4 linked regions of the Rhinolophus ferrumequinum genome follow. The protein of the gene in region 3 purifies or fractionates together with the protein of the main gene of each other region. This does not show direct contact. Links are inferred from orthologs where the notes say so. Each region holds a gene or a part of one and is shown on either strand. Other genes may lie near its edges. The genes, in order: CCNB1, CCNB2, CDKN1B and CCND3.

What was found.
Region 1: the proteins of CDKN1B (region 3) and CCNB1 purify together in Homo sapiens (affinity purification with mass spectrometry; 5 studies listed by BioGRID and IntAct, with this or other methods). This does not show direct contact. The link is inferred for Rhinolophus ferrumequinum from reciprocal best matches to the Homo sapiens genes CDKN1B and CCNB1.
Region 2: the proteins of CDKN1B (region 3) and CCNB2 purify together in Homo sapiens (affinity purification with mass spectrometry; 3 studies listed by BioGRID and IntAct, with this or other methods). This does not show direct contact. The link is inferred for Rhinolophus ferrumequinum from reciprocal best matches to the Homo sapiens genes CDKN1B and CCNB2.
Region 4: the proteins of CDKN1B (region 3) and CCND3 purify together in Homo sapiens (affinity purification with western blotting; 9 studies listed by BioGRID and IntAct, counting the BioPlex papers as one, with this or other methods). This does not show direct contact. The link is inferred for Rhinolophus ferrumequinum from reciprocal best matches to the Homo sapiens genes CDKN1B and CCND3.

What each region holds. Positions count from the first base shown.
Region 1 is NC_046290.1:44,717,037-44,724,066, reverse strand, and holds the start of CCNB1 (G2/mitotic-specific cyclin-B1), read right to left. Parts: upstream 3,071-7,030; 5' UTR 2,927-3,070; coding exon 2,906-2,926; intron 2,341-2,905; coding exon 2,170-2,340; intron 2,077-2,169; coding exon 1,924-2,076; intron 382-1,923; coding exon 199-381; intron 1-198. UniProt on the Homo sapiens protein: Essential for the control of the cell cycle at the G2/M (mitosis) transition.
Region 2 is NC_046289.1:50,579,271-50,587,078, reverse strand, and holds the start of CCNB2 (G2/mitotic-specific cyclin-B2), read left to right. Parts: upstream 1-4,678; 5' UTR 4,679-4,840; coding exon 4,841-4,864; intron 4,865-6,620; coding exon 6,621-6,749; intron 6,750-6,837; coding exon 6,838-6,951; intron 6,952-7,808. UniProt on the Homo sapiens protein: Essential for the control of the cell cycle at the G2/M (mitosis) transition.
Region 3 is NC_046293.1:27,455,981-27,463,966, reverse strand, and holds the start of CDKN1B (cyclin-dependent kinase inhibitor 1B), read right to left. Parts: upstream 3,185-7,986; 5' UTR 2,633-3,184; coding exon 2,158-2,632; intron 1,628-2,157; coding exon 1,506-1,627; 3' UTR 1,498-1,505; intron 1-1,497. UniProt on the Homo sapiens protein: Important regulator of cell cycle progression. Inhibits the kinase activity of CDK2 bound to cyclin A, but has little inhibitory activity on CDK2 bound to SPDYA. Involved in G1 arrest. Potent inhibitor of cyclin E- and cyclin A-CDK2 complexes.
Region 4 is NC_046286.1:11,637,926-11,645,947, reverse strand, and holds the start of CCND3 (G1/S-specific cyclin-D3), read left to right. Parts: upstream 1-4,950; 5' UTR 4,951-5,105; coding exon 5,106-5,303; intron 5,304-6,159; coding exon 6,160-6,375; intron 6,376-8,022. UniProt on the Homo sapiens protein: Regulatory component of the cyclin D3-CDK4 (DC) complex that phosphorylates and inhibits members of the retinoblastoma (RB) protein family including RB1 and regulates the cell-cycle during G(1)/S transition.

The sequences.
Region 1 (7,030 bases), on a different chromosome or scaffold from region 3:
TGCTCACATCCTGCTTGAATTATTGTAAATTATTAATGGAAAATTAATAAATTAATAAAATTAATAAATTAATAAAGCTAGATGCAGTTTAGAAAAAAACAGATTCTATTAGTTTGGTGCAAAAGTAATTGCGGTTTTTGCAAATATTTTTAACCTTTTAAACTGCAATTGCTTTTATACCAACCTAATAATACTGACCTCAAGTTGTCTCAGATAAGTATAGATGTCTTTCACATATTCACTGCAAAGGTTGGGATCGGCTCCATCTTCTGCGTCTACATCATTCACTGCAAGAAGTACATCAGAGAAAGCCTGACACAGATACTCTTCGGCAGGGGCACAGCCAGATGTTTCCATTGGGCTTGGAGAGGGAGTATCAACCTTAAAATAAAGAGACCTTCTGAAATAATAGCAAAGAAGAGCATACAATCTGGGAATAAAAGTCAGATCATTGGTACCAACTCAAGATACCATTTGTTGAATAGTCATAATTCATTCCCTGAAAGGAAAAGTATTTTCAGATTTATTCAGTTTCTCTTTAGAAAGTGATTAGTATGAAAATTGAAATGCCAACTTGACTGAGCCAATTTGAAGTCAGCAGAACCTAAACACTAACAGGTAAAACAGAGAAGCAAATAAATTCACATTTTGGACTTTCCTCCAAAGGAAACTGGTAAGTAATAAATCTGTTGATCAGTGTCATGTGAAGTTAATTCAAACAAATGGCAAGTCAGTCTTTGGTTTTCATTTCAAAACATGGACCGATTCTCACTGTTCAGGAGAACACAAGTTCTGTCCTAACTACTCATTATTAACTGACCTCATTAACCATTTCCTTCAAGCTCTAGTTACCCCATTTTTCATTTATTGAGCACTTTCAAGTCAAGCTCTGTCCTAGGCACTGATTTTTTTGATATCCTCAAGGGGCTTTGATTTTAGACGAGAAGTAAATGAGGTAAGGAGATTGATTCTAGGAACAAGGGTTAGGAGAAGTTAGGCAAAGTTTCAGGAGTTGATACTTGAGCTGTTTTGAAGGATGAAAAGGTTATTAGCTAAATGAAGAAAGTGGGAAAGACATTTTTAACTAGTGTGAAAGCAAAGACAAGAATCATTATGGGACTTGCAAGGAAACCTCAGGTAGTTTGGTATGGTCATTTAAAGACTTTGCATTGCACAGGTTTCATGTGCTATGTCCAGAAGGTCAGTACTAAAACAATGGCCTCAAATCTTTTACCCTTAGATATAAGGAGCCAGGCTGAATGACTTTTACAGATTTTCCCAAATGGTTTTATTAAGTTTTAAAAATCAGCTTCATAAGGCAGTTCATTCCAATTTCATCAAACCAGCCTCTTCTAAAGGGCCTGTTTTTCCTTCACAGTAGAAAAATTTACCTGGTATTTAATAGAAAGTTCTTGGTTTCTGAAGCTGTTCATTATCTTACCTGCTCTGAGGTGCTACATTTTCTTTCTGCTTTACACCTTTACATATTACAATGTTACAGGCTTACTAATTATTCAGTGGTCATATTAGTGAGTAAAAAGATTCAAGAGAACAATCTGTGTTTCAGTCAATAAATTCTGGTCAGAGATGACTTGTACCAAAAACAGCAAAATCTTCGATCAAGGCAACTACTACTCAATACCATACACGAGATTAAAAGCATAGGCTCCGAAGCCAGACAAGTCTGGGTTCGAATCCAGTATGTACCACCGATTAGATATGACTCCAGGAAATACGTAATACTTTTCTAAGCCATTATCTAAAAAGCAAGATACCAGCTAAGAAAATACAACATTATATGAGTTAATGCATTTAAAGTACATAGCAGAACACTCTATGTTACTATTATTTATTCAAATGCTATTTCATGCATTCAAGTAAAATGAGGGAAAAGAAACAATCAAGACTCTAAAATAAGTTTACCAAAATAGGCTCAGGCGAAAGTTTTTCTTCTTTAACGGGCTCAGGTTCTGGCTCTTGCGCCGGCTCCAGCACAGGCATGGGCTCGAGTCCCTTTTCCAGAGGTTTTGGTAGTTTTTTAGCAACAACTTTTCCAGCAGCTAAAGTTTTTGCTTCCTGTGGATGAATGGGAGAGAATGGAATGTTGCTCCATCCAAGGTCACAGTTGGATGGTGGACTTTTACAGATAAGTTGGATCAGGATAGTTACCTTTTTCAAAGGCAATTTGGACTGTGGCTGTTCACTGACTTTGTTACCGATGTCTCCAAGCGCCATTCTTGGCCTCAGCCCGGGCTTGGAGGCTGCAGCAGTGGCCACAGGCACGCGCTTTGCGCCTGCCATACTGATCTTCGCCTTATTTTCAGCATTAATTTTCGTGTTCTGAAAGAAGCAAGACCTCTTTGAGAGCTAGCCCAGCCAGGTTGCAGTAAGTCACAGGGGATTAATTAAGATGAGGCAAAAGAGAGGCTCTCGGGAGGGAAGTCGGCTGTAAATGAGTTACGAGGGGAAACCCGGTTCCAGGGTCTACGCTAAGACTGTGAAAAGTCAGTTTCCTCCTAGAACCTCTTCGCTCGCCTACGGTGGGATAGCACGTTTAGTCCCGACCGACACTAAAATACCCTTAATTTACATTTGAAAAGAAAAAAGGCCTCCAACTGCAGACACCTTCTTTCTCTCCAGAAAGGACCTTACGCAGGTGGTGGGAGCCCACAAAAGAGCCCTCCACGTTTTAGGAAAGATTTCCTGTTGACCCTCCATTTCCCCCCAAACAGGCCAACCCAGATCTCTTGGCCACCTACCCCACCATGCCAGGTGCCTACCGACAACCCTATGCTCCCCAAATCTCTGCCCTGGTCCCGCGGGGCTGGATGGCTCCGGCCAGCGAGATAGGGAGAGGATACACAGCGAGAAAGGCTGCGTTTGTTCACTGTCCGCAGCAGCTCACCCTGGTGACCCGGAACGCCATGGCTTCCTCTTCACCAGGCAGCAGCTCAGTGGGGAGAAGAGGAGAATGGGAGCCCCGGACGAGCCGGGGATCTGAAATCAACACAGATCAAAAACCGTTCCACCGCAGCACGCCGGGAGATGCAGGGCTCGGCCTCAGATTTAAACCCCGCACCGCTCCCTCCTTATTGGCCTGTTCGTGGCACTCGCTTCCTTCCTATTGGCGGCTGTCGGTTTCCCCAAGAACGCGTTTCTAGGGCGATCCCGCGGAGACGTACGAGAGGGGTGGGGCCAGAGAGAGGTTGCGGCCACGCCCTCACTTGGTTTGGCTTCGCGCCTGCGCTCTCGGGCATTTGCGGCTGCCACCTGGACCGGCGAGGTGTGGCGAACTGTGCGCTGCCGGATGTAGTCGAGGGGGATGGCCTTGTGCCCTGAGAGAAGTAACGGTGGAGCAGCCGCAGTTGGAGAAGCGTAAGCAGTTGTGGCTCTAGTCCTACTTATTGTTACACACTGTCTTCGTCTGCAGCGGTGTGTAGCTGAAAGGCTTTGATATATAATGTTTTATTTGATCTTTTCCAACAGCACTCTGGAGGAACCGAGGCCCAGAGAAGCTTTAGGTGATTTTCCCAGGATCACAAGTTAGTAACGTGGGGACTAAATGTAGGTAATTTCTTTTTTTTTGATTCATGATGTTTCTACAACCTAATTGATAAGAATATCGTCAGTTTCTTAATCTACCAGATTACTTCAAGTTATTTCCCCAAGCCAATGTTTTTATTTTAATTTTTTATTTGAGAATAATTTCAAACTTAGAAAACTTGCAGACAAAAATGTGATAAGGATTCAACTATCCTTAACATTTTACTCCATTTGCTTCATGATTTACTTTATATATGTATAAACTATGTATAAAATTATTTTTCCTGAAACACTTGAGGGTGTTTATATATATCATAACTTTTATCCTTCAGTTCTGCCGTATTTCCTAAGAAAAAGAATATTCTCTTACCTAACCACATACAGTTAATAACTTCAAAATGTACTTTATTGTTTTATTCAACCTGGTTTATATTCCATTTTGTCAGTTGACCTAATAATATCTTTTATAGCATTTTTTTCTCTGCTAGTACATGATCCAGTCTAGGGTCAGATGTTATATTTAGTTATCGTGTCTTTTTAGCCTCCTTTAATTTAGAGCAGTTCCTACAGCTTTTCTTTATCTTTTATAATATTGATGTTTTTGAAGAATACAGTACCCCCGCCACTTTTTTAAAAATAGAACTTTCTTATTTTTGTACTTGGTATTTTCTTGTGATTTAAATTGAGGTTGTTGCACAGGTGTATATGACTGTCAAAATCTTTATAATCTAACTTACACATTTTTAAGTATCTTCTAAAGTGTTTTTATAGTTTTCTAGTAATTATTTATGTAGGAGCTGCTATGTGCCAGGCACTATATTAAGCACTTTACATAATCATCTCATGCTTTTTTTCTTCTAGTACTCTGCTGTTATCACATATTAAGTTTGCTTTAACATCTATTTCAGTAATGCAGACTAAAATTTTTCAGGTACATATTGGTTCACTTTCTATGGCTACTTACCATTTGAATTTAAAGGCCAAACAGGTCTCCCCTTGCAACCAAGTACAGTACATAAATCTGTCAATATTAATATTCACAGTTATGGAAAGCTTGTTTAAGAAAATAATTGATTTAATAATTTTTTAAAACATTCAATAAATTCATTCATACTCTACGAAAATTGACACAGGTAACATCATGGTCTTAGGGGATCAACTGCAGACACGTGATGTTTGTCCGTCATAAATGAGATTAATTTTGGTCACTTGGTTAAGATGTTGCCTGATTTCTTCATTGTACGTTTACTTTTTTAAAAATTGCAACTAATATGTTGTCTGTGTGGAGATACTTTGAGACCATCAAATTTCTCCCTACGTTTCATATTCCCTCACAGCAGCACTTGGTTAGGAACTGTTGAAACTCTTGTTTCATTGCCATGAGTTGGTAAAAAACAAACTTTGAATGACCCTAGGATGCCAGACCTTTACCAGACTTAATTGACGACCCCTTCCTGACCATTGCCTAATGGAAATTCTTTTAACCCAGTAGTTCTCAATTGGAGGACATTTTATCCTACGGGGCATATTTGGCACTGTCTGGAGGCATTTTTGATTGTTACAACTGGGAGGGTGCTAGTGGCATCTAGTGGGTGAAGATCATAGAAGCTGCCAGACATCATACAATGCACAAGACAGCCCGCACTCCCCAAACACAGTCACAAAGAATTACCCAGCACAAAATGTCAGTAGTTCAATAGTGTGAAGCTTGAGAAATCTTGCCAACTATGTACAACTAATTTTTATTAAGAATGCTACCATGTTTCCCCAAAAATAAGACCAGATCTTATATTAATTTTTGCTCCAAAAGATGCATTAGGGCTTATGTTCAGGGGATATCATACTGAAAAATCATGCTAGGGCTTATTTTCCGGTTAGGTCTTACTTTTGGGGAAACATGGTAGTTATGCTTAATTAGCATAAGTACCATGGATCACCTCCTTTCTTTATAACACTTACAACCTTCTGACTTTTCTCCTCAGTGAACTACTCAGTGTTCTCTCTCCTGGCCAAGTTAATAGTGTCAACAATACACACCAGTCACTGATCTGGGTGCTAGGAATACAACTCTGAATAAAATGGATAAGATCCCTGCTTTCATAAAAGCTTATATTCCAGTAGAAGAGAGATGAAACAAGTAAATAACTAAATAAAGTGAAAAAAATCAGCTAGTACTAAGTGGTAGGCAGAGAATGAAAGGAAAGTGTTGCAAACAGTGTGACTTGGTAGCTACTCTGGAGGTGGTCAGGGACAGTCGAGAAAGTGATGTTTAAGCTGAGGCTTAAATGAAAAAAGCATTCCACATAGAGAAAATAGCCTGTGAAAGCTCAATGATAGGAATGATCTGTACAAATTGCCAGTTATAAAAAGTCATGGGGATGCAAAGTACAGCATAGGGAATGTAGTCAATATTTTGATAACTATGTATGGTATCATATGGGTACTAGACTTATTAAAAAAGACGTCTCCACTCCTTTTCAAGAAACTCTGTCTTCCCAAGCAACTATGTAGTAGGCAGAATAACAACCCCCCAAAGATGTCATTGCCCTAATGCCCAGACTTGTGAAGATGACTGTTACATGGTAAAAGGGACTTGGAAGACCTTGAGATAGGGAATTATCTTGGATTACCTGAGTGGGTCCAGTGTCACCACTTAAAAGAAGAGGAAGGCAGAAGAGGTGGTCAGAGAAAGATGCAACAGTGGAAGAAGGGGCAGGAGAGAGATGAGCAGGGGAAGCACATGACCCACTGTTGGCTTTGAAGATAGAGGGAGTCACAAGCCAAGGAATGCAAGTGGCCACTAGAAGCTGAGAAGACTAGCAAAGAAACTGAGACCTCAGTCCTACAAAGTCCTACAAACACTGAATTCAACCAACTTGAATGAGCAAGGAAATGGATTCTCCCCTAGAGCCTCCAGAAAAAAATGCAGCCCTGCAGCAACTTTGATTATAGCCCAGTGAGACCCATACTGGACTTCTGTAGAACTGTAAGAGAAGTTTGTATTCAACCACTAAGTTTGGGTTATTTGTTATGACAGCAATAGAAAATTAATACAAACCACTTTCTGTGCTCTATCACTATAGATTAGTCTTCTCTGTTCTTGGACTTCGTATACATGGAAACATACAGCATGTATCTGCCATGTTTCACTGAACTTGTTTTTGAGATTCACCTGTATTGTTTGTAACTAATTTTTTTAAACTGCTGAGTAGTTTAGTGAAATTCCATTATGAATACACCACAATTTATCGATTCTCCTGATGGATATTTGGGTTATTTCTGGTTTTTGGCTATCATGAATACATACATTCTTCTACAGGTCTTTTTGTGGACACACTTTTCCATTACCTTTGGGAGTGGAACTGCTGGGTCACAGGGTGGATATATGTTTAACTTTAAAAGAAATTGCCAAACAGTTCTCCAAAATGGCTGCATCATTTCACACTCCCACTAGCACTATGTTGAGTTTCAGTTACTCCGTATCATC
Region 2 (7,808 bases), on a different chromosome or scaffold from region 3:
TCATGTGGCTGATAGGCCTTGGTTCCTTATGGGCTACTTTCTTGTTATGGGGGCCTCTCCATAGGGCTGCTCAAATGTCTTCCTGACAGGGTTGTGCTGCTTCCCCAGAGCAAATGACCCCAGAGAGCGAGGAGGAAACCACAGTGCCATTTTTCACCTAGTTTCAAAATTGACACTCTCTTCTGCTACATTCTATTCATTAGAAATAAGAGTCACTAAAATACAGCCTATACTCAAGACGCGTTGATTAGATTTCACCATTTGAAGGAAAGTATAGCAAGAATTTGTGTACATACAGTCATGGGTTGCTTAATAGGAATATGTTCTGAGAAATGCATCGTTAGTTGATTTTGTCATTGTGCGAACGTCAAATAGAGTGCACTTACACACACCTAGGTGGTACAGCCTGCTACACGCCTAGGCTGTATGGTACAGTCTATTGCTCCTTAGCCACAAACCTGTACAGCATGTTACTGTACTGAATGCTGTAGACAATTGTAACAATGGTAAGTATTTGTGTATCTACACATAGAAAATGTACAGTAAAAATAGAGCACAAGAGAGAAAAAATGGTCCACCTGTAAAGGGCACTTACATGAATGGAGCCTGCAGGACTGGAAGCTGCTCTGGGTGAGTCAGTGAGTGGGGAGTGAGCGTGAAGGCCGAGGACATGACTGTCCACTACTGGAGACTTTATAAACACGGTACACTTAAGCTACACTAAATGTCTAAGAAAACATTTTTCAATGACAAATTTAACATTAGCTTACTGTAACTTTTTTACTTTCTCAACTTTGTAATTTTTTTAAACTTTTTGAGTTGTAACACTTAGCTTAAAACACACATTATACAGTTGTACAAAAATATTTTATACGCTTATAACCTTTTTTCTGTTTAAAAACAATTTTTTTTTACTTTTAAAACTTTTTTATTAAAAACCGAGACAAACACACGTTAGCCTAGGCCTAAACAGGAGCATCAATAGCACTGTCTTGCATCTCCACATCTTGTTCCCCCTGGAAGGTTCTCAGGAGCAGTGACATACACGGAGCTGTCAGCTCCTATGATACCAGTGCCGCCTTCTGGAACACCTCCTAAAGGACCTGCCTCCGATTCTTCTGAGGAGCTGTCATTCTTTTCAGAAACACGTCCACTTCATTAATGAAAACTTTTCAGTCCATGTTTTCAAACTTTTTTAAGGAGCTTGTTGAGGTCTGCAAAAGCTGCTAGATCCTTCACTGAATTTTCTTGGGGTTTTTTTCTGTTCTGCAGTTTCCTTTTCTCTTGCCTCTTCTTCACCTGTGCGTTCCTGTTCCAGTTCCAACAACTCCTCATTTGTCAATTCCTCAGGAACCACCTCTAGGAGCTCCTCAGTGTCATCCTCTGCCACACCCAGGTTCAAGTTGTTTGCATCTCATCCGTAGCCTTGATTTTTTGCAACTTTTGTGCTATGACATGATGGCTAACATCACTAGGCAATAAAAATTTTTCAGCTCCATTGTAATATTATGGGACCACTGCTGGATATGCAGTCTCTCGTTGACCAAAACATCGTTAAGCAACACATGACTATTTTAAAAACACAATTAGTAACTCTCTTATCCCCTATGTCAAGACCCAATCTCTAGGGCCGGGCCGGTGGCTCAGGCGGTTAGAGCTCCATGCTCCTAACTCCAAAGGCTGCCGGTTCGATTCCTACATGGGCCAGTGGGCTCTCAACCACAAGGTTGCCAGTTCAACTCCTCAAGTCCCGCAAGGGATGGTGGGCTCCGCCCCCTGCAACTAAGATTGAACATGGCACCTTGAGCTGAGCTGCTGAACTTCCAGATGGCTCAGTTGGTTGGAGCGCGTCCTCTCAACCACAAGATTGCCGGTTCGACTCTGGCAAGGGATGGTGGGCTGCGCCCCCTGCAACTAGCAACGGCAACTGGACCTGGAGCTGACCTGCGCCCTCCACAACTAAGACTGAAAGGACAAAAACTTGACTTGGAAAAAAAATCCTGGAAGTACACACTGTTCCCCAATCCCCCTTCCCCAATAAAAAAAATCTTAAAAAAAAAAAAAAAAAAGACCCAGTCTCCAGATATCTGGACTTCGGTCGCCAAAAATTCTATTAAACTGCCTTCAGTGCCCCCCAGGGCTCTCGATTACCTTTGATCCATGGTTCAACACCAAATAAACTGCAACCAGCTTGTGATTCAGAAGGAGTCCTCATAGCAAAGACCGCAAGACTACCCCAAACTGGGAGATTCAGATGTCTGAAAAGAAGAGTTCCCATTTGGCATTCCAGGACCTAAACATACTATATGTAGGCATCCTGTGGCGCTGGAAGATACTAAGCAAGAGCTACCTTGAAGCCCAATAGCTCCTGCCAAACCAACCACTTACCTTGTCTCCCATCATGCCGGTCCAGTACTGGTGGTCCGTGTTTTTGCTTGGGGTGCTTCTGCCTGCAACCCATATTCACTGAAGTTCACATACACACCTTTTTGAAGCAGTACCTGAAAATAAATTGATCGTGTAGAATTTTACCATACTGTAAAGAGCCATTGGCCTTCAAGAAATTTATCCTTGGTTAATTTTCTATTTGAGTTCCTTCAATGACTGTTTCAAACTTTTCCTACTCTTTCTGCCACATGTAAATAGACTGGACAATGGCAAATATAATGGAAAGAGCCCACAGGCTTTGGAATCAGACCCGAGTACAAATCTTCGCTCTAAAATGCTTAAGTGCTATTATTGCAGCCAAGACATTTAATTGCTCTGAGCCTTAGTTTCTTCAAATTGAGATAATATATGACAGATGTTAACTAGACTTATTGTGGTGATCATTTCACAATATATACAAACACCAAAAACTAATATAATGTTATATGTCAATTATACCTCAATTTAAAAATGACAAAAAAATAGGATACTACCTGTTTTATAAGGATTGTTATGAGGTTTCAACAAGAAAGTTTATGTAAACTAGTATACAGGAAGAGTGATCAATGTTGTCTAAGGCAGGAAGGGACAGGAAGTAAAAAACAGGACTACAATGCATTAAACGAGGTTGGATCAAAAAGTTTATTTGTAAGTTTCTAGGTTAGTTGCAGTGAGGGATACAAAAGAAATATCACTTCCATTTTAATGAAAATACATGTCTAATGTGGATTAAATTATTTATTTTGACCATGTCAAGTCAGTCAATAAGAGCACTTTACCATTCATAGCATTTCTGTTTACAAAGCCCTGTGAGTCTGTGAGGATTGTTACTTTTATAGTTGTGGTTTTTGATAACACCACATTATAACAATAAAGCAAAAATATAATTTTACTCACAACCCCAGTGCACTAAACATTTACTTTTCCTTCCCCAGACTATCTTTCTTTCTTTCTTTTCTTAAGATTTGTATTGGGAATATTGGGGAACAGTGTATTTTTCCAGGACTCATCAGCCCCAAGTCAAGTCATTGTCCTTCAATCTATTTCTGGAGGGCATAGCTCACTGGCCCACTGGGAATTTAACCAGCAACCTTGTTAAGAGCACGTGCTCTAACCAAAAGAGCCATCTGGTGGCCTCCCAAGACTTTTCCTTATAGGAGGATAGATACACTAACATCTTCCCATGCTGCATAGTAGCTGCAATTATTCCTGTTTTATAGAAGAGGAAACAAGTTTAGAAATATCAGATGCATGGCCAAGGGCAAAGGCAAGGGAAGGAATTTAATCCAGCTCACTTAACTTCATTTAAGGCTCATTGATACCCCAGTAATAAAGAGGTAAACCATATTTTAAAGAGTAGAATAGGAGTGACAGGAAAGCTTGCTCAGATCTTAGACGGAGCCTGTTATCAGGAGTCATTCCACTACCTTTACTAAGGGCATTGGACTTTTCCTTTCCTTAGCTTTTTCCTTTCCCTTTTCCTGTTCCTCTCACTTTTTCCTTCCTCTTTTTCCTGTCTTGATCTGATCCTCCTACCCTTCGGTCCAAGCCTGGATCAGACCTTCTTTTTAATTTTAAAGTATTCTGTATGTCATAGGATCATCCATTCGTGGACAATTTATTGAGCACCGACCATAACACAAACCATGTGCCGGGAATACTATAGAGAGCTCACAAGAATCACAAATAATGCAAACTCGCATTTTGCAAAAGCAAATCGCAAAATGCAAATCGCATTTTGTTTCGTTTGCCTCTCTTGGGAATCTTAACTTTTGCGTAAACGTGACACTTTTTACTCCTTACCCGTTTGTATGTCAACCACCTACAGTGCATCCTTGAGCCACCAGAGGCGCCTGTGCAAGGACCACGGCCAACCCAACCTAAACTCCAATTCGCAATTTCCGGAAGAGGAATAAAGGTCAGAAATGGCATTTCCAGGGTGTTCCCTAGAACCAACTTCTGCCCACCCGGCACAAACGTAGAGAAACATCCGTAGGTGAAGCCTTGTCAAAATTCAGAGGTGTCCTACGTTTGCTGTCCCAATGAAACATTTCTTTTTTGTTTATCTTGGAAGCCGAGATGTTTTTAAAAAGGCAGCAGGCGGGGCGGGGGGAGGGTGCGGTGTGTGGGGGTTAGTTGTTATGACAACCAAATGGGTCTGTAGAGCTCAGTCAATCAGCATGCGGGACTGCCTCCTGCTTAACCAATGGGAAGAGCACGCCGTACGTAGGGCCGCCCAATGGGGGCGCGAGCGGCGCGGTATTTGAATCCTGGAGCCAGGCGACTACACGAAGATTCCTAGAGCTGCGGGCTCGGAGTGTGGAACTAACGGCGCCGCGGAAGCTTGTGCCTACCCTCCCCGGTCCGCGTCCAACCCTGGGCCTGGCTGGCACTATTGCCTGCCGCGTCCCTCATGGCGCTGCTCCGACGCCCGACGGTGAGTGGGCTCGGCGACAAGAGCCAGGGGCTTGGGCGGCGCAGACCGCTCGGCCGTCTCTTGCTTCTCTCTGTAGAGCTCTTTCGTCTCAACCGACGCCGCTTCCCCATTCTGCCAGCTGCCCGCTTCCCCCGCGGACCGGGCCCTGCGGCCTGTCCTCTCTGGCCAGCCTCCCCTCCCCGGCCTGGGTTCCTCTCCGGATCCTTGCCCCGGCTGGTGCCTGCCCTGGGAATGGGGAAAGTTCACGAAAGCGCCTCGGAGGTGGTGGTACCTGTTAAACGAGCCTCCGGAGCACTGGTCCTAGCACTCAGCAAGCGATCCGGAGTGCTCTTTGTTGTTAGAGATCTAACTACAGGGTTCTTGGGATTTCCTTCCTCTGTTTTCCTTGCAGGCTCAGGGCTCCGTGGTGGGGATGGGGAGGAGAAGGACAGGAAGAAATTCTGTAGTCAGTAAAGTGGTCTCAATGTTCGATCAAGCTTAAATTCGTTTATTTCATCTTTGCAAAAAACAAAAGTGTTAATGGTGTTTTGGTTATTTTTTTTTCTCCTGTGGGCCTGAATTGTACGTGGATCTACTTTTCCTTTGCTGAAAAATAGAGAAGGTCGTGACACACCTGAGTTCCATCCTCCTGGCTATAAGGCTAGTTAAAAGCTGCCAATTTTCTTTTCCAAATGGATTTAAACTTAGTCACATTGCCAGGCTTCCACCCATAGCATTCAACTTTCAAACATTTTTAAAAGTTGGCAATTACTGCTGGAAAAATTGAACAGTATGACTTTTGTGAATCCTAATAAGTTGAATACATTCAGTTTTTAATTTCTACCCCTTTGTGGATCAAAGTAGAACTGATGAATAATTTTTGTCTAATCTGTCCTACATGGTTCTTTCATAGTCAAATTCCATCTATCCAGGAAGGCTTGAGTTTTCCGTTGTCCGGTCTGTCCTGGTAGGTCCATTCAAACCCTCTGTTGGGAGATTCTTTAGGAATAGGACTCCCAATTTCTGGGGAATGGGACGTGCTGTTTTTTCTTGTGACATGTTTATCACATCTATGATAAAATTGACTTTTTTGTATGAATTGCTTTAGCTAGTAAGTTTTGTCTCAGCACATGCTGTCTAAAGCAGGTTAGGGTCAACTAACAACTTATTTGATACAATTCCAACTTTCTTGGGATTTGAGAGTAAAACTATTTTACCCATGAAAACTTTTTTTTCTAAGTTTCCTTAGTATAAGAGAGTCTATGCTATGGCAACTGCAGTTTTGAAAGCTATATCTAAAAGATCATGTCTATAGGAGCACTTTTTTCTAGAATGGCATAAGAATCAAATCTAGTTTAGGTTTTAAACATCTGGTTTTTAAACAGCCAGACAGACGTATTATAGTTTTTTTAATAATTTGTTTTAATTGCACTTGTTACTAATTTCTGTAAAAGAAGGTTTTTAAATACTGTAGATACCTTTAATATACAGGGATCTTTAACAAGTGACATGGGTGCTCTATGAGAAATCACTTATCTGTAAAACTCTTAGTGGATTTTTTTGTTTTTATAGATAAGGTGGGATGGTGATTTGCCTAATTTAGAGTGATGTTATCAAACACAAATAGTATTTCTAGACTTCCTAAAATGTACTTTTTCCCTTCCTCAATTAGATCTCAGCATATTCACCTTTCCTAAAGCAATTCTGAATTTGAGTATCTGGTAGTAGGAAAGTATTTTAAATTGTCTCAACTTTTCTTTAATTTTTTATTTTTTAGGTGTCCAGCGAGTTGGAGAATATTGACACAGGAGTTAATTCTAAAGCTAAGAGCCATGTGACACTCCGGCGGGCAGTTTTAGAAGAAATTGGAAATCGAGTTACAATCAGACCCACACAAGTAGCTAAGGTAAGGTGACAACCATTAGGACCGTACGTGTGCTCAATGGGGAAAATACTGAATGTCTTGCCCTATTCACTTTTCTTTTTCCTTGTAGAAAGCTCAGAACATCAAAGTACCAGTCCAGCCCACCAAAACAACAAATGTCAACAAACAACTGAAACCTACTGCTTCTGTGAAACCAGTCCAGGTGAAAATGTTGGCTCCAAAGGTACGGAGGTCTAAATTTAAAAAACCAACTTAATGAAGCAGCCTGTTTTTGGCCAGACTGCACGTGCCTTTATCAACAATGCAACTTTTGAAGAACATTCAGAGCTAGAGCTCTACTTTGAAACAACACTGTAGAAATGAATATCTATACCTTTTTAGTGATGGTATCATAATTTAATATGAACTTGAATAACAAAATTAATTACTTTAATACCCAGGTAAATTTAGTCATGTCAGAGTGAAATATGGTAGGTTTTATTAAAATAATCCACCACGAGAATGAACTTGCCCATGAAAGCTGTGGAAGCTCAAGGTTCTGAAACCCATACTCATGTAGGACCAAGGTAATGCCAACATTGTGGGGTGATAACTTGTAGTTTCTGTGACTGGTTAGCTCTCTTGGAGTTAGAATGCCAACAGACCCATTGGCCTGCTCCCCTTCCATCATGTTCAAGTTCATGCATGCTCTCATTCATAGATTACATACATTCGTGGAATTACTATGAAACGAGCACTGTTGTAGGTACTGAGAATACAATAACTACTTCACTCTTTCCAGCTCAAAGATGTGTGTGTGTGTGTGTGTGTATGCGGGGGTTGCCAAAAAAGATGTATACAAGTGGACACTTTGGTCAACGTTGCTCAAGCAGTAGTTCACCGTAATCAGAAGTGTCTGGATGCTGATGGCAACCACTTTGAGCACCTCTTGTAATTGCAGAAGTCAAACGTGACTTGTATTCATCTTTTGTTATCAGTATATATTATTACAATTTTAATACAATTTCCCTTTCTTAAAACGTGTATGCATTTTTTTGGCACCCTCTGTGTGTCTGTGTGTGTGTATGTGTGTGTGTGTGT
Region 3 (7,986 bases):
GGCCTTACTACTAATTTCTAGTATTCTTTGAACTGGCAATATTTACTAACAAATGCCTTTCTAAATCAGAATGGGGCCAGGTCAAAATCCAGTAGGTCTGATTCACTCTGGCTCATCTGATGAGCCAGGCCACAAGTTTCAAACCAACAATGGCTGCAGATGGTAAGGTTGCGTCAGAACAATTTTTTATTCAATTTTCCCACTACATATATAGCTATAATACAGAAGTTCTATAATGCCATTTTGTATAAGCTCTGAAAATATCAGATGTATGTAAAGAAGTTGCATATGTGATTTAAAAACACAACAAATTTGAATCCCACCTTAATCCCTGTGTTCTTTCATTTCTTTTTAGATGTTTATAAACGAGGATTTGAAAAGATACTATCAATATGTATTAAGATCTCTTTATATGCTAGGCTATGAGTGTGTTTTGGGGGGAAAAAGAAAAAGAGGTCCCATTCTCTGTCTATAAGATGTTTACAGACTATTAATACACGTACTTTGAAAAAAAAATATGTACTTTGATCTTTATGGATAGCCAATCCACATAAAGTTGGCGGCTGAATTATTCAAATTAGCTATTCGTGTTGATCAGATTTTAGTAGATGGAAAAATCTCCACTTCCCTTGTGCGGGGCAGACCTACCCTGCCAGCCCTGATATCTACTATTCATTTCCCCTACAAATATCCAAATCATCCTGTTATAGTAAGATTAGCATACACATGCTGACGTGTTCCTGGATTGCTTACTTTGGCAGAGTTAATTTAACTTCTGTTTTGCAACTTTAGTGTTATCAGAAATTCTGTAGGAACCTTAGTATTTTTAAACTTTCTATTTTGGCTTTTTTTTAAATACAAAGGTTACTTCTCTGTCCCCAGAACTTATCAGAACACAGGGAAAATGACCTTTTATGAAAATGATAAAGATAAAAGAACACAACATAACTCTCTTTTCACATTTCTAACTATTTGATTAACCAAATATGAGCCATGTGTACCTAACAATGCCCTCAAAATTTAAATGTAATCATTCAGTTGCCATTTTTTCCATGTATGGCCCAAAAATGTGTTACTCCCCTTAAACCTCTGGGAAATGAATTCTCATGAAGTGGGACTGAGACCACAGCCCAGCTCTTGTTCAGATGGGGAAAGACCCTATTGTTCCCAACATGTTTTGGTGGGGCTCACAGGAACTGACCGTCCTATCCACAGGACCCTGATTACAAGTACTTGCCTGGAACACTTGCTCTAGTCCTTTCATGTTTCAGGGGAAAATGATCTCAGGACGTGGAAACTGTTTAGAAATACAGTATCCCCACGGTGACTCCTAGCCTTCCCCACTCCTACTTTCTCGACTTCACAAAATATAAACAAAACAACAACCCACAGCTCTCATCTGCCAGCAACTAAGATGGGTATCTTGGGGTTTGAAAGGCCACGAGTTCCTGCAGCCCAATTCGGGTGTCAGTTATTTGCTCTTAGTAATCAACCCACCGAGCGGTTTACGTTTGACGTCTTCTGAGGCCCGGCTTCTTGGGCGTCTGCTCCACGGAGCCCGCGTTCGGGGAAGCATCTGAAACATTTTCTTCTGTTCTGTTGGCTCTTTTGTTTTGAGGAGAGGCATCTAAGGACAAGAGGGAATTTTCAAAAGAACACACACAAGTAATCTTTATCAAAAAAACAATGGCTAACAAAAGTTGGCCCAGTAGTCAGGGGATGAAAAACCCACCATCTCCACCCACAATCCTGCACCCATCACTCTGAGTGGCCTTTAAGGGCACAAAATGAGGTTGTTTTCACATAACAGTGTTTGCTACGCCCCAAAGCGCTCTCTCTCTCCATAGCGAAGAGGGAGGCCGCTGATAAACATCCCGACGTTGTCCAAACCTACTGCCGTGTACACGGAGGGGAGGGGGAAGGGGGAGGGGACAGCGATGTTTTCGCTTAGTGAAATTATCAGATAATACAATCTCAGGCCTCTGACTTACAAATCATAGACAGGCAAGCAGTCAGATAGCACTCACAACCTAAGATTCCGAAAGCGGACTCCCAAAAAGCTACATCAGAACACGCTGAAAACTGAGAGGTTAAGACCCCCAAGTAGGCAAGGCGGGGCCCCAGACAGACATTTTATGGTTTTGAGAGGGTCATTACCGTCATTTGCAGGTCGCTTCCTTATCCCAGTGCACGGCTCGGCTAAGCCCGTCTGGCCGTCCGATGCATCAGTCTTTTGGTCTACCAAATGTGTGTCCTCTGAGTTTGCCTGAGACCCAATTAAAGACACCGCCTGGCGGTTCCCGCTGACATCCTGACTCTCCTGCGCTGGCACCTTGCAGGCGTCTTTGGGTGGCCGCGGGGGTCTAGAGTAGAACTCGGGCACGCTGCCCTTTTCCACCTCCTGCCATTCGTATCTGCCCGGCAGGGGCTTGTGATTCTGAAAATCAAAATTCCACTTTCGCTGGCTTGCCTCTTCCATGTCTCGGCAGTGCTTCTCCAAGTCCCGGGTTAACTCTTCGTGATTCACCGGGCCGAAGAGGTTTCTGCAGGCGGACGGTTTGGGGTACTCCGCCTGTCTGGCGTCCATCCGCTCCAGGCTAGGGCTCCCGTTAGACACTCGCACGTTTGACATCTTCCTCCTGGGTCTTTACGACCGCCTCTCGCGCCCTCTCGGAAAACAAAACCGAACAAAACAAAACGCCCCGACCCAGCCCGAACCCCTCTTATAAGTCCTGCGACTGCCCTAGGAGCCAACAAAAACAAACCCCAACGAGTAACTGGCGAGCGTCAGGAGCGCGCTGGGTCTGGGGAGGGGGTGAGAGGAAGCCCGGACTAGGCAGCCGAAAGTCTCCGCGGATCAAGTGTACGGGCGAGCGAGAGGGCGGGGAGGGGAGGGGAGAGGCAAGAGGCGGGGGTGGCAAAGCCAGTCCAAGTCCAGGCTGGTGCAAGCCCGCGGTCCCGCGAACCGAGCGGCTCTCCAAACCTTGCCGGCGTCAGAGTCTCGGGGCGGCGAGAGAGTGGGGAGAGGGGAGGGGAAGAAAAACACCCTGAAAAGACGAGCCCCCTTTTCTTAGTTGCCCAATATGGCGGTGGAAGGGAGGCTGACGAAGAAGAAAATGATTGACACCGCAAGTCTATTTAAACAGAGGAGGAGATCCATTGGTCGCGGCGCCGGGAGCCGCCCCGCCGAGGCTGGCGAGCGCGGCCTTAAGGTGGCCCCGGCGCGGTCCCGCCGCCTCCCCGCCTCCCCGAGCGCGCCGACTCCGACAGCGCCGCCCGGAGATTGGCTGGTCGCGTGATTGCTGGAGGTATACTGCTGCCAACAAACCTGCTCTAGCTGGCCTCGGAGAAATTAAAAATAAGACAAACAAGCTAGCCAAACGGCTGGGAAGCTGGGGAGGGGCCTGGGTGGCGGGGCCTTGGGTTCTGGTCCCCGCGCGGCGCTGGCGGGCGCGCGGCGGTCCCGAAGCCTCGACCTCCCTCGCGTTCCTCGCCAGGGAAACGAACGGGCTAGAGCCGATCTCGAAGGTTGCTGGCCCCTCGATGTGTGCCTCGGTGGCGATCTAGTTTTCTCCGCACTGCGGGCAGCTGGGGGACGGAGGCTGACGGTGGGAGCTCTGCCCGCAGATGGTTTCTCACCCGCGGCACAAACTTCTCGCGCTGCGGAGGAGGCGGAGAAGTATTGGCTGAGGGGCTGAGAGCCCCGGGTGAGCGGTGGTTAGCTCACCCTGAACCTTGAGATCTCTGCTATTCTAGGGGATGCACAGGGGCTTAGGGAAGAAGCCAGGGCTAACGCCTTTCTATAAATTAGCCTGGAGTAGGCTCAGCCTTTATAATACTGTATATTCTGAACCCACGCTCTCCCTCAATAAAAATAAGATTTCAAGATCAAAAACTCGACTGGTCTCCCAAGTCCCTAATAAACTTTGATGATGTCTCAGACACATTTAGTTTCCAAAAGCGAAGTTACACCCCTGGCCCAGTTCTTGCTTCTCAAGCAGTGAAGGCAATTGACATGGACTGCGTGTGGGAACTCGTCTCCTCGTTCTATTTTTCAGTTCTTTCCCTGATTATAGCAGTTTCCTCTACCTTCGTCCGGCCGCCAAATGCTACAGCTCCTTCCTCCACCTTTTTTTCCTACCAGATTCACTGCTCCCTCCCACACAGAACAACATTCAGACGCCAAGTGAATGCTTTTAGAGGGCTACAAGTAGTTGAAGGGTGAAAATACTCTGGAAGTCCAGATTATGAGGTGATTTATAAAACCACCACAACCATGTCTTCACGGCAGATACTATTCAGGCATTGTTCTGCTCCCCCTTAGCAACCTGAAATTTACCTATCAATCTGGTCCTGAGCAGGGTAGCAGACGTTAAAACAGCGTGGGCAGGGCTGTCAGACCCCAGACAAATCTCAATGGGTCTTTAACCGCCTCACCGCCACCCCACCCTCCAATACATATGATCTTGCTTTGGGCCAAAGTTAATACATTTTACTGGAAACTAATCTCATTCAGTTCTAATAGTCCACAGAAGCAATGTTGTCTTATGCTTCTACGCTACAGATGAGTTTGAGTTTTAACTTGTTTTCTTAACTACACAGTTTGTCCACTCTGTGTGCCTGCCTCACCTCCTACACTACAGAATGGTAGAGCAGGGAGGGACCTGCGGAACCCTGTAGTTCACCCATCTCTTTACTGCTGAGGAAACTGAGACGGAGAGGAGCGTTCCTATCCAGAGACCACATATCCAGTCGGTAGCAGAGCCAGGATTAGACCACAGGTCTTCTCTCTTAGGCTGGTTCGTTTTGTTTCTTTCTGATGGCCCCAACTGGCTCAAGTTTTTGTCTGGATTCACCTGTGCTGTAATCTGTAGGTCCTCCTCTCTTACAACTGATGCACAATGGCTCTTTCTTGTGTCCTGGGCTGCCTGCAGATGTTTCCTTGATGTGGCCTGTGGTCACTGATATTTAAATGCAGCTGTCACTGGCCTTTGGTGTCACCATCCACTAATTGCAGATTCCAAAAGGACAGGGGTGATACTAAAGAGAGCAGCGAGGGAGACAGTGCCCAAAACTCGTTTCAAAGTCAGGACTTCCTACCTGATGGACAGAAAATATTTCACCTGGGATCAAAGTAGGCCGTCTCCTCTTCTGTATTTTTCTACATTTAATGCCCCTCTTAACATTGGATTGGAGAAGAGGGAGAGAGGGATTCGACACTTAGGGTAGGCCTCAGTACCATAATTTATACCCCACCCCTGAAATTAGATCATTGTTGTCAACATTTTTAACTAGTTGCTGGGCTACACAGGAATTCTACATTATATGTAAGCACATATTCACTTGCATTAATACACAAATTACCACATATATGTGAGTGGAGATATTCTAGAATATGACACCTTGTCACAGTTTCATTTTATGCGTGGAATTAATAGCCTACATAAAAGTGGAAAAGTAATACTTCTACCCCCATACACACTGAATCTTTCTTCAGTTAATATGCAGCAGCACCATTTTGTTGCTTTGTTAATCTTGAAAAGTAAACGAGTCAGTCACGCCACCTTAAGACGTCTGGCTGCCAGCAGAAAGCCTGTGCTGACATCGACCTTGCTATGATCTAAAGTGTTTTGTTTACAGTCAAGGCACGGGAGATCTGCACAGCAAATAAAGAGAAGGCAGGCGTCTGCCGTAGTAGTGGCGAAGCGTGAAAAAAATACTATGGGTCCCTGCGGGAAGAAGGAACGTGGAGATCAGAGCGCCATCCTCCTGCGCGAAGTAGGAGGCTGCAAAAGAGTAGGGCGGGGAGAAACATTTCGGATAAACAGTGACAAGGCGGAGCCTAGGTTAGACGACAGAAAGTTCCATTCGGTACAGCTCTAAAATGGGCTTTGCTCCCCAAGACCCAGAATTTAGTCCTGGGTGATATTTTTGTTGTCATTTTCACTTTAAGTAGGTAGTTTCCTACTGAGAGCTGAGAAGTGTCACATAAGCCACCCAAGATTGCTGTGTCCTTCACAAGCTGAGGAGAGAAGCAAAGACCAAAATAACTTAAAAAGAAAACACCTGTGTGGTACACAGTGTCTAAATAGGGTGGTTGGGCAAACAGTGGGGTGAGCTGGCCTCCCAGCTGCAGTCCTTTCAGGGGATAGCTGAGCAGCCCCCAGCAACTCTGCGACTGTACACATGGACAGTTGCCCCGCCCACCACAACTACACAATTTTAATTCTTCCGCTACGATGTTTATAATGAGGCAGCTTTCACTCAATTTCATTCTTCTCCTAAACCGACATATTTTTAGAAATTGGGAATTTACGTCATCTGTTTCTGATGCTTTTCATTCAATGTAACAAATATTTATTGAACACCTTCTATTAATTTGCTTAATCTTACTTTCTTTCAACAAATATTTATTGAGTGCCTTTGATACGCCAGGCTTTATCCTGGGGATACAGAAGTAAACAAACAGATTTGAACGAGGGTGAAGCTTACATTCCAGTAGAGGGGAAGAGGAGACAGACACACGATAAATGAGGAAAGCATATATTATGTAAGGAGGTGATATGTGATATGGAGAAACAATAAGCAGGGGAGAGGGAAAGAGAATGTTGCAAGGATCCCAATGTGAGAATAGTCTGGGAAGGCCCCATTGAGAAAGTGGCATTGGAGAGAAGCCCTGAGGAACTGAGAAAGCAAGCCAGGCCCGTGTCTGGGGAAAGAGTGTCCCAATAAAGGGAGCGGCAAGTGCAAAGGCTCTGAGGTGGGATCTTGTCTGATGTGCTCAAGAGGCAGCAAGGAGCAAGGGGAGAGAGGTTGTAGGAATATCCAATCATGCAGACCTAGGGAGGGTTTCTGTCACTGACTGAGCGATACGGGAAGCCACTGGGGCATTAGGAGGTTTTAAGCTGTGGAATGATGTGATCTTACTATGTGTAAAGTATTTCCCCAGCGCCTTATTCTCAGGAGCATGGGGAGTGAAAGGATGACTAAGTTACAATCCCTGTCTTTAGGGCGTGTACACCCAAAGACATAAGGAGACCATCATGTGCACAAAAAACTAGAGGTAGAAAGCAATACATGGAAGAATGCAGGACAAAGATGGAGTACATAGGAGGGAGAAAGAGGAAGGCTGTATGGGGGAGGGGACATGTGAGTCACATCTTGAAGAATGAGAAAAATGTCAAGATTATAGGGATCTATTGATAGGCGTGGTCATTGGGGATGGTATCAGACAGGGGCAGGCCATAAATGGCATGCAATTAAAAAATGTTTTATTCATAAGCAATGGGAACTGATGTTGCTTTTGGTGAAAAGAATAACATGATCACTGTGCAAACTTAGCTCCTGAACAAAGAGCAAGCCTGGGCCCTGAGAGACAGTCTCTAGGAACAGAGCTAAATGAAAAGCTGGGTAGACATCCCATCATGGTGTTAATCCAAAAGTAGCTGAAAGCTGGCCAGAGTACTGGTGGTGAGGCAAGCAGGTAGAGAAGTATGGGCGCCAAGCCCAGGATGAGATGGTTTGGAACAGAGAGTAGGAGGCAGTCTGGTGTGATCCCCTAAGCTACAAAGGCTTAGAAGCAGATGCCTTGTATGTGGTGCTCGCAGCCTTGACAGTGAGTAGAGAGGTAACTGTTAAGGTGCCCAAGGTGTCTTGGACAATCAGACCTTTGTGTTTGGAAGTGGCACCTAACAGCAGAGTAAAGGGTGGGTGTGATGAGCCTCTCCAGGGCTAACACAGGGAGGTAATTTTGGAGGCTGATTGCATTTGCTCAAGCAAGAGATTCAACAGCCTTAAGCAATGCTGTGGAGGATGGAAAGGAATAAATGTGGGGTTTCTTAGGTAGTTAGAACAGATAAGGGTGTCAGGGAGAGAGGGAGGAATGGAGGATGACTTTAAGGACCCAAGCTTTGGTATTTTAACTAGAGAGGTAGGATGCAACAGAGACTGCTAGCTGTCCATCAAAATCCATCTCGTCTTCTTCAG
Region 4 (8,022 bases), on a different chromosome or scaffold from region 3:
CACTCAAAGTAGGGAGAGAGCAGGTCTAGAACCAGCCAAGACACATGAAGGGCATGTACAGTGGGATCTGCAGGAGTTTGGAGGGTTGTTCCTGCAGCTGGATTGTTCTAGGAAGGCTTCCTGGAGGAGATCAGACCTGAGCTGGGCCTTGAAGGATAAATAAACTGAACAGAGAAGATAGATGGGTTTACCAGTGATGGAAGCAGGGAACTGAGGAGATGGGGAGGGCAGAAGAGGCCCTGGCATGTTTTTGGAGGTCTGCAGAGAAGAAGATTCTGCTACTCTTTCTTCTTCCATAGCATTGTCTAATTGGAGTTTTCCTTGCTATCTAATTTACAGCCCGCTAGTTGAGGACTAGGTTTCTCTAGACTTGGAGGGCCATGGTTATTTGAGACTAAATGAACATTTGGTGCCTTTATTAAGCACCTTTATCCCTGATATGGGGTAAAGACCAGCTGAGGTTCCTTAGACAAAAGTGGCAGGATTTTTGAGGTCCAGTTCTCAGTGAAAAATGACCAAAATAAGACATCATCTAAGATGCAAGAACCAGGCCAAGGGATGCTTATAGCAGGGAAATGAGTGAAATAAAGAACAGATTGTTAAATCAGTTCCATGGGATATAGTGGATGATAATTGGGGAAAAATAAGGCTAGAGCCCCACTTAATATGACACACTGAATAAATGTGAAGTGTGTCACACACTGAAGGCAACGCATTAAAAAGGAAAACCTTTATTGTATGTATTCTTGACAATGCATAATTTTGGGGGTCTCCTCATAGACTTGAAGAAAGAAAAGCCCTGAAGCAGAGCCCAGAAATCTGCTTTTAAAATATAAGTATTTCTTACATTTTCTTCTAGTAATTGTATAATTTTACAGTGGGGAAGGCATGGTTCAAAGGAAGAAATCATTAGAGAAAATAATGCTACATAAAAATAAAAACTTTCTATTTGTTAAAAAAATAATTCTACCATGAACCAAAAATGAAAGGCAAATAGTGGGGCAGTTGGTTAGCTCAGATGGTTAGAGCACGGTGCTCTTAACAACAAGGTTGCCGGTTCAATCCCCACATGGGCCACTGTGAGCTGCGCCCTCCACAACTAGATTGAAACAACTACGTGACTTGGTGCTGATGGGTCCTGGAAAAACACACTTAAATAAATAAAAGTTTAAAAACAAAAAAGAAAGGCAAATAGTGAACTAAAAAAAAAAAATGTATAAAATATATGACAAAGAAAAAATATGAAAAAGGATATTCTTAAAATGTAATCGAGCACTTAGAAATCAATAAGAAAAACAAACATTTGTGTAAAAGAATGGGCAAAGAGTATGAAATAGGTAATTAATTTACATAAGAAATGTAAATGTCTAATAATGTGTCAAAATATCATTACTAGTAAACTACTTTTCATCTCTCCAGTTTGCTTTCTCCATAAAGAAAAGTAGGTATATCTATACAATGGAATATTATTCGGCCATAAAAAAGGACATTTTTACATTTGCAACAACATGGATGAAACTTGAGGGCATTATACTAAATGAAATAATTCAGACAGAGGAAGACAGATACTGTATGATCTCACTTATATGTGGAATCTAAAAATCCTTACTGAGAGAAACAGAACATTTTGGTGGTTGTCAGAGGTGGGGGGTAAGGGGAGGGTGAAATAGGTGAAGGTGGTTAAAAGATACAATCTTTATAAGATAAATAAGTTATAACATAAATAAGTTATAAGATAAATAAGGTCTGGGAATGTAATGTACAACATGGTGACGATAGTTAATGGTTCTGTATTGCATATTTGAAAGTTGCTAAAAGAGTAGATCTTAAAAATTCTCATCACAACAAAAAAATGTAATTATGTAATAGATATTAACTGAACTTATTGTAATTATTTTGCAATATGTATATATATTAAGTCATTATGTTGTGCATCCTGAGCTAATTCAGTTTATGTGTATGTCAATTACACCTCAATAAAACTGGGGAAAAAATAAAAATATATAATGATGGTTTACCCTCTCATCAAAGATAAACAACCTTCTAACCTGAACAGTCCTACTCAATAATTCTGAAAATAAAGGAACACCTTCCATTAGGAAAGATCTGGTTTCTGGTTATGTACTCATTTCAAAAGCTACATTTTTAGTCCTCTGCACCCTAAAAACCTCTTAAACTTCAACATCTTTGTCTCCCCATAACTTCACATCTGTTCTTTAACATTTTGAAATATGTTTTTCTATTTATTGAAAGAGTGCAATGGTATGATTATTTAACTAAAGAAACTTCATATTCATATTTCGGACCATAGGAAGGAGAAAAGGACTTTAAGATTAAATGAGGTACATGGTACACATTAATTCTGGCACAATAAGAGCTCTTGAATTAAAAAAGATACACACACACATACACACACAGAGGGTGCCAAAAAAAATGTATACACATTTTAAGAAAGGAAAAAAACTGTATTAAAATTGTAATAATATATACTGATAACAAAAGATTAATGCAAGTCATATGTATACATATTTTTGGCATCCCTGGTATATTATAACTAATAAACTACTTTTCATCTTCCCAGTTGGCAGAGGGTTTTTAAAAATAGATATCTAATGTTTATTCATTAGATTGGTTTAGTCTTTCAATAGCAAAATTTAGTAATAACTACATCAAAAGCCTTAGAATGAAACTCACAGATACAGAGAACAAATTGATGGTGGCCAGATGGGAGCAGGGTTGGAGGGATGGGTTAAAAAGGTAAAAGAGATTAAGAAGTACAAATTGTCAGTTATAAAAATAGTCACATGGATGTAAAATACAGCATAAGGAATATAGTCAATAGTATTGTAATCACTATGTATGGTGCCGGATGGGTACTAGACTTATCAGGGTGATCACTTTGTAACTATAAATGTCTATAATCACTATGTTGTACACCTGAAACTAATATAACACTGCATGCCAACTACAACTGAAAAATAAATTTTAAAAATCTAAAAGAAGCCTTAGTATGTTTCATAACTCCAGACTGAGAAATTCCACTTGTAGAAATAATTCACTTCTAGAAATAATCATGAGTGCATACAAAAATATTACCACAAAAATATTTCACAGTATTGTTTCTAATAGGGAAGAACTAGAAATAACTTAAATTTCCAACAACACATATTTGGTAATATGTATATGATATATTCACCCAATGGCATCCTATGTTGCCATTAAAAATAATGTAGAAAAATGACATGGAAAAGTGTTACAGTAAATACTGTTTTAGTGAGAAAAATGCTTACAAAAACAGTTTATGATGATCTCATTTTAAAATATGTGTTTATTCATAGAACAATTTTAGAAAAATAAATATTGACATTTTAAAGGATTATCTCTGGATGGTGAAATTGCAAGTAATTATTATTTTTCTTTTTGTGGCTTTTATTTTTTAAAATAATTTAAAATTTTTTTCAATTACAGTTAACATACATTATATTAGTTTCAGGTGTACAATATACCAACTAGATATTTATATAATTTATAAAGTGATCACCCAGATAAATCTGGTACTCATCTGACACCATACATAATTATTACATGTTGACTATATTTCTTATGCTGTACTTTACATCTCCATGACTATTTTTATAACTATCAATTTGTACTTCTTAATCCCTTAACCCCCTCCCATCTGGCAGCCATCAAAATGTTCTCTGTATTTGAGTCAGTTTCTGTTTTTTTATCTGTGTTTTCTTAGTTGTCTACAATACAAATAAATATTTCCATGATATTACAACTACAATAAAATTTGTTATATAAAAAGAACAATTAATTGACAAACTGTTTAGCATAGACCTTGCCTCTGCTATACAATATTATTTCTTCAGTAACTCCCTTGCTTAGTGTCCTTTCCCTCAGAAGGACCTCTTGATGAGAGGCAGGAATTCCCAAGGCCTCCTCCCATTTGGGAGCATTACTGGAGGCCTGTGGTCGGCCTCGGGGTCACGTGGAATCCAGCTTTGGGGAAACTACAAAGTAACCCAAAGTTTGGGAGGTAGGAGAAATGGCAATTGGAAGATTTTATGGAATCTGAGCAAGAAACTCCTTCACAGAGGATCCAGTTTCTCCGCCCCCTTTTTCCTCAAACTGAAGCTTAAGGCCGACTTCAGGGCTTGTCCAAGGCCACAAGGCAGACTTAATGACAAGATGAGGCCTGGAATCTATGGCCTCTCCACCCTGTTGTGTTTCTGTAATGTGCTGATTTTGATCAGGCCTTCTCATACTTTAATGTGCACAGGAGTCACAGGGGGTCTTGTTGAAATGTAGATTTTGATCCCGCAGGTCAGGCGTGGGCCGGAGAGTCTGCATTTCTAACCGGGTCTTAGGCGATGCAGAGGGTGTTGGCTTTGAGATCACAGTGATAATGTGTAGCAATGGGGTAGAGCACAGATTCTTGAGCCAGACTAGCTCTGCCACAGACTGTTAGTGTGCTTCAGTTTCCTTATCTGCAAAATAAGTATAATACCTAACTCATTGAGTTTTTGTTTGGATTTAATAAGTTATTGCGCATTAAGTGCTCAGAACAGTGTTCACTAAGAACTAGTTATTTTATCAGTATTTATATTCCCCAGAGCAAGCAGCTGGTGAAGTAGGGTTTGACGAATGAATGAATAACCTTTGGAGAAAAGTTCTTTCCTGGGCAACTAATGTCAGAGAAACAAAATGGGAAGGCTCGATGGTGCGGGAGGGGACCACCTCCAAGAAAGTTCCCTCCACCGGGTGGTCAGGAGGGCTCCGGGAGCCCGGAAGCCTTCAGGCGGGCGCCCCGCCGACCAATGCGGCAGCCAGGGAGGAGGGGGGCGCCAGCCAGCCCTTTCCGTCTGGGGCGCCGGCGGCCCCGCCCCTTGGAACGTTGTGACGTTCGAGCATTCCGCGGTTGCTACATCGTCTCGAAGGGGCGGGGCGCCTGTCAGGGAAGCTGCAAGCGCGCCGACGCGGGCGGGTCGGGGCTCCACTGCGCAGTGCCAGCGCCAGCACCAGACCCGCGCTCTCCGGCCCGCCGCCTCGGCTCTGGCTCGCGAGCCCGCACTCCAGTCCTGCCCGTGCGCTGCCCAAGTATGGAGCTGCTATGCTGCGAGGGCACCCGGCACGCTCCCCGGGCCGGGCCCGACCCACGGCTGTTGGGGGACCAGCGTGTCCTGCAGAGCCTGCTCCGCTTGGAGGAGCGCTACGTGCCCCGCGCCTCCTACTTCCAGTGCGTGCAGAAGGAGATCAAGCCGCACATGCGGAAGATGCTGGCGTACTGGATGCTGGAGGTACCGCCCGGACGGGTCTCCCCTCCCCCGCCGTCCCTGCGTCCTCGGCTCCGGACATCCCGGGGCCGCCCTGTTGGGACATCCTGGTCTCAACAACAATCAGCAAGATGCTTCGGTGGCCCAGAGCCCCGGGCCTGGCCTTTCACTCGGGCACCCTAGCCGGCTACCAACGTGGTGTCCCTTTCCCTTCCCTAACCCCGACTCCGCCTGCCAGTGGTTTGGCACCCTAACTAACCCTCTTTTCGGGTCGGGAAAGCGGGACAGGGGCCACCTTCTCCCTTCTGGCTTCTCTAGAGTCTCTTGCTTCCCCCCCGCCCCCCGCCCTGTCTTCTTAGGAGAGCGCGCGCCTGGGAAACCCTGGACTCGGCCGCCGCAGAGCGGGTTCCTGTGTCTGTCGCGGGGTTCTGGCGGGGAAGGCGGTGGGGGTGGCGCGCGCGCTGTTCCGGCGGTCTGGGAAATGAAAAGTGCGGGAGGCAGCGGCAGGAGTCTCCTCCCTTCCTTTTGGGTGTGTGCAGTGGGTGGTGGTAATAGTTAGGTCCCAGCTCTCTGGCTACCGTGGGTGACTCTTCCGCACCCTTCCATGGGGGAGGGGAGTCTCAGTGTGGAATCCTTAAGTAAGGGAGCCTCTGGCGGACCCCTTCCCCCGGGAAGGGGAAGGAGGCAACGCAGAGGAAGTGGGGCCGTCACCTTGGGGAAGGCGCATCCCCCTCCGCATTAGTCCTTGTCACTGTAAGCACATTTACTCCTTCATGCATTTTTGTTCCCGTCCCACTTCCTTCAGCGCCCCCTTTCACTTTTAGTGCTGCTGCGTTTCCCACGCCCCTGCCCCAGAAGTGACTGTGCGTCCTCTCCCCAGGTGTGTGAGGAGCAGCGCTGTGAGGAGGAAGTCTTCCCCCTGGCCATGAACTACCTGGATCGCTACCTGTCCTGTGTCCCCACCCACAAGGCACAGTTGCAACTCCTGGGTGCGGTCTGCATGCTGCTGGCCTCCAAGCTACGCGAGACTACGCCCCTAACCATCGAAAAATTGTGCATCTACACCGACCATGCTGTCTCTCCCCGCCAGCTGCGGGTGCGTGCATAACCCACCCCCAACACATACCACCTCTCCTCACTTACCGGCAAAGGAAAGCTAAGACCTCAGAGGCTTTCTGCCCCATGGGGAGGGCGCGTGGACCGAAGAGGCTATGTATTAGGCAAACATGGGGCAGTGCGTGTGATGGTTAGGGTAGCCCCAACCCAGGCTTAAGCTGCCAGTATGAATTAACTCCCCTTCTCCTGACCTCCAGGGGGTGCCACTGCTTCCTGGTCTTTCCCCCAGATAGCAACAAGTCAAACTGCATGTCTGCACTCACTAGTACTTTGCCTCTGGGTTTACACAACCACCATGAGTTATTTATTGGCAGCAGAAAGACATGCCTGCACTCCCCCACTGGAGTGGGGGAGTGGAATGTGCTTCAGTGGGGGAGGGGGGCTGCCTTGGGTGAGTCTTTATCCCCATGTGGACTTTGTGATTGAAAAGCCTCCCAGAGCCGATTAAAGCCCGGCCCTGATTGCTCTAAGGAAGGGCCAAGGAGTTTCATCCCACCTTCTTTCCTTCCTTTTATATCCCAGAAGACACAGCTCCTTCCTAATCCTCATTCTGAGCAACTTGAGCAGCTGCTTCAGGCCTGGTGGAATCATCTCTCCCTTTCCCCCTTAGCCAAAGGCCAGAGCTGAGGGACGGACTGGGAGCTGAGCCGCAGCTGCTTCCGATGTGATAATGATGCCCCCTCCCCTGGCCCGCCCACTCTGACCAAGGTCTTTCATAACCCTGTGGAGAGCTGCTGTCACTCCTGTGGTTTGGGAAGTGGCTTCCTGGGCCTCTTGCTGGGAACTTGGGCTGGGCTCTTCCGAGGCGGCAGGAGAGTCACCGGTTCTTTTCCCAAAGCCTGGAGAGGAGGTGGGGGCGCTGCTGGGATCTAGGTTATTTAGGGCATGTGGGTCGTCTCCCGGGGGGTCTGGGGGAGAGGCTGGGGGAGCTGGCACCTTCCTCAACCTTGCTCTGTGCGGCCAAGTCTTCTCCTGACCCTGAGAGGAGTCTGGGCCCCATTTCCCGGGGAGGAGGGCAGCATGCAGGCTGCTGTGATTGGCTGGCCAGGAAGCCAGGGTACTGGGGCCCCTGACTGCTGCTTGTTGAGGAACAGGATTCCTCTTCCTGCCAAGTAGCTCTCAGAGATGGGAGTAGGAGGCCGGAGATGGGAATCCGGGAGGCCCCACGGCTCTTTGTGATGAATCTGGTAGTTTTTGGCAAGTCTGAAGGTGGAACTGGTTTCCAGGGCCAGCAAGCACGATGTTTTTGGAGGGGTTTGGGCTGGAAGGTAGAAGGGGACTTCCTTTTTGTGAAAAGATTGGGATGGTGTGTGTGTCTTTGTGTGTGTGGTGTTTTTTCAGAACAGGCAAAAAGCACTCTTCCCCCCACTCTTGCCTGAGCTGGGGGTGGAGTGTGCAGATGGCTTCCTAGAAGGTCAGAGTTGGAAGGGACCTCAGAGAACTCCAGTCAGTCCAAGTCCTTGTGCAGCAGAGAAGATTGAGGCCCAGAGGAGGGAAGTGTCCAGCCTCAGCATTGCACTGAAGTAGATGAGGAGAATCTGGGTCTTCTGGCTAGCCCAGGTGGACTTAAAGGCCGGGGATATGGTGGAAGTAGCTAATAGCTCCCGGGGGTATGCTCTCTTCCAGC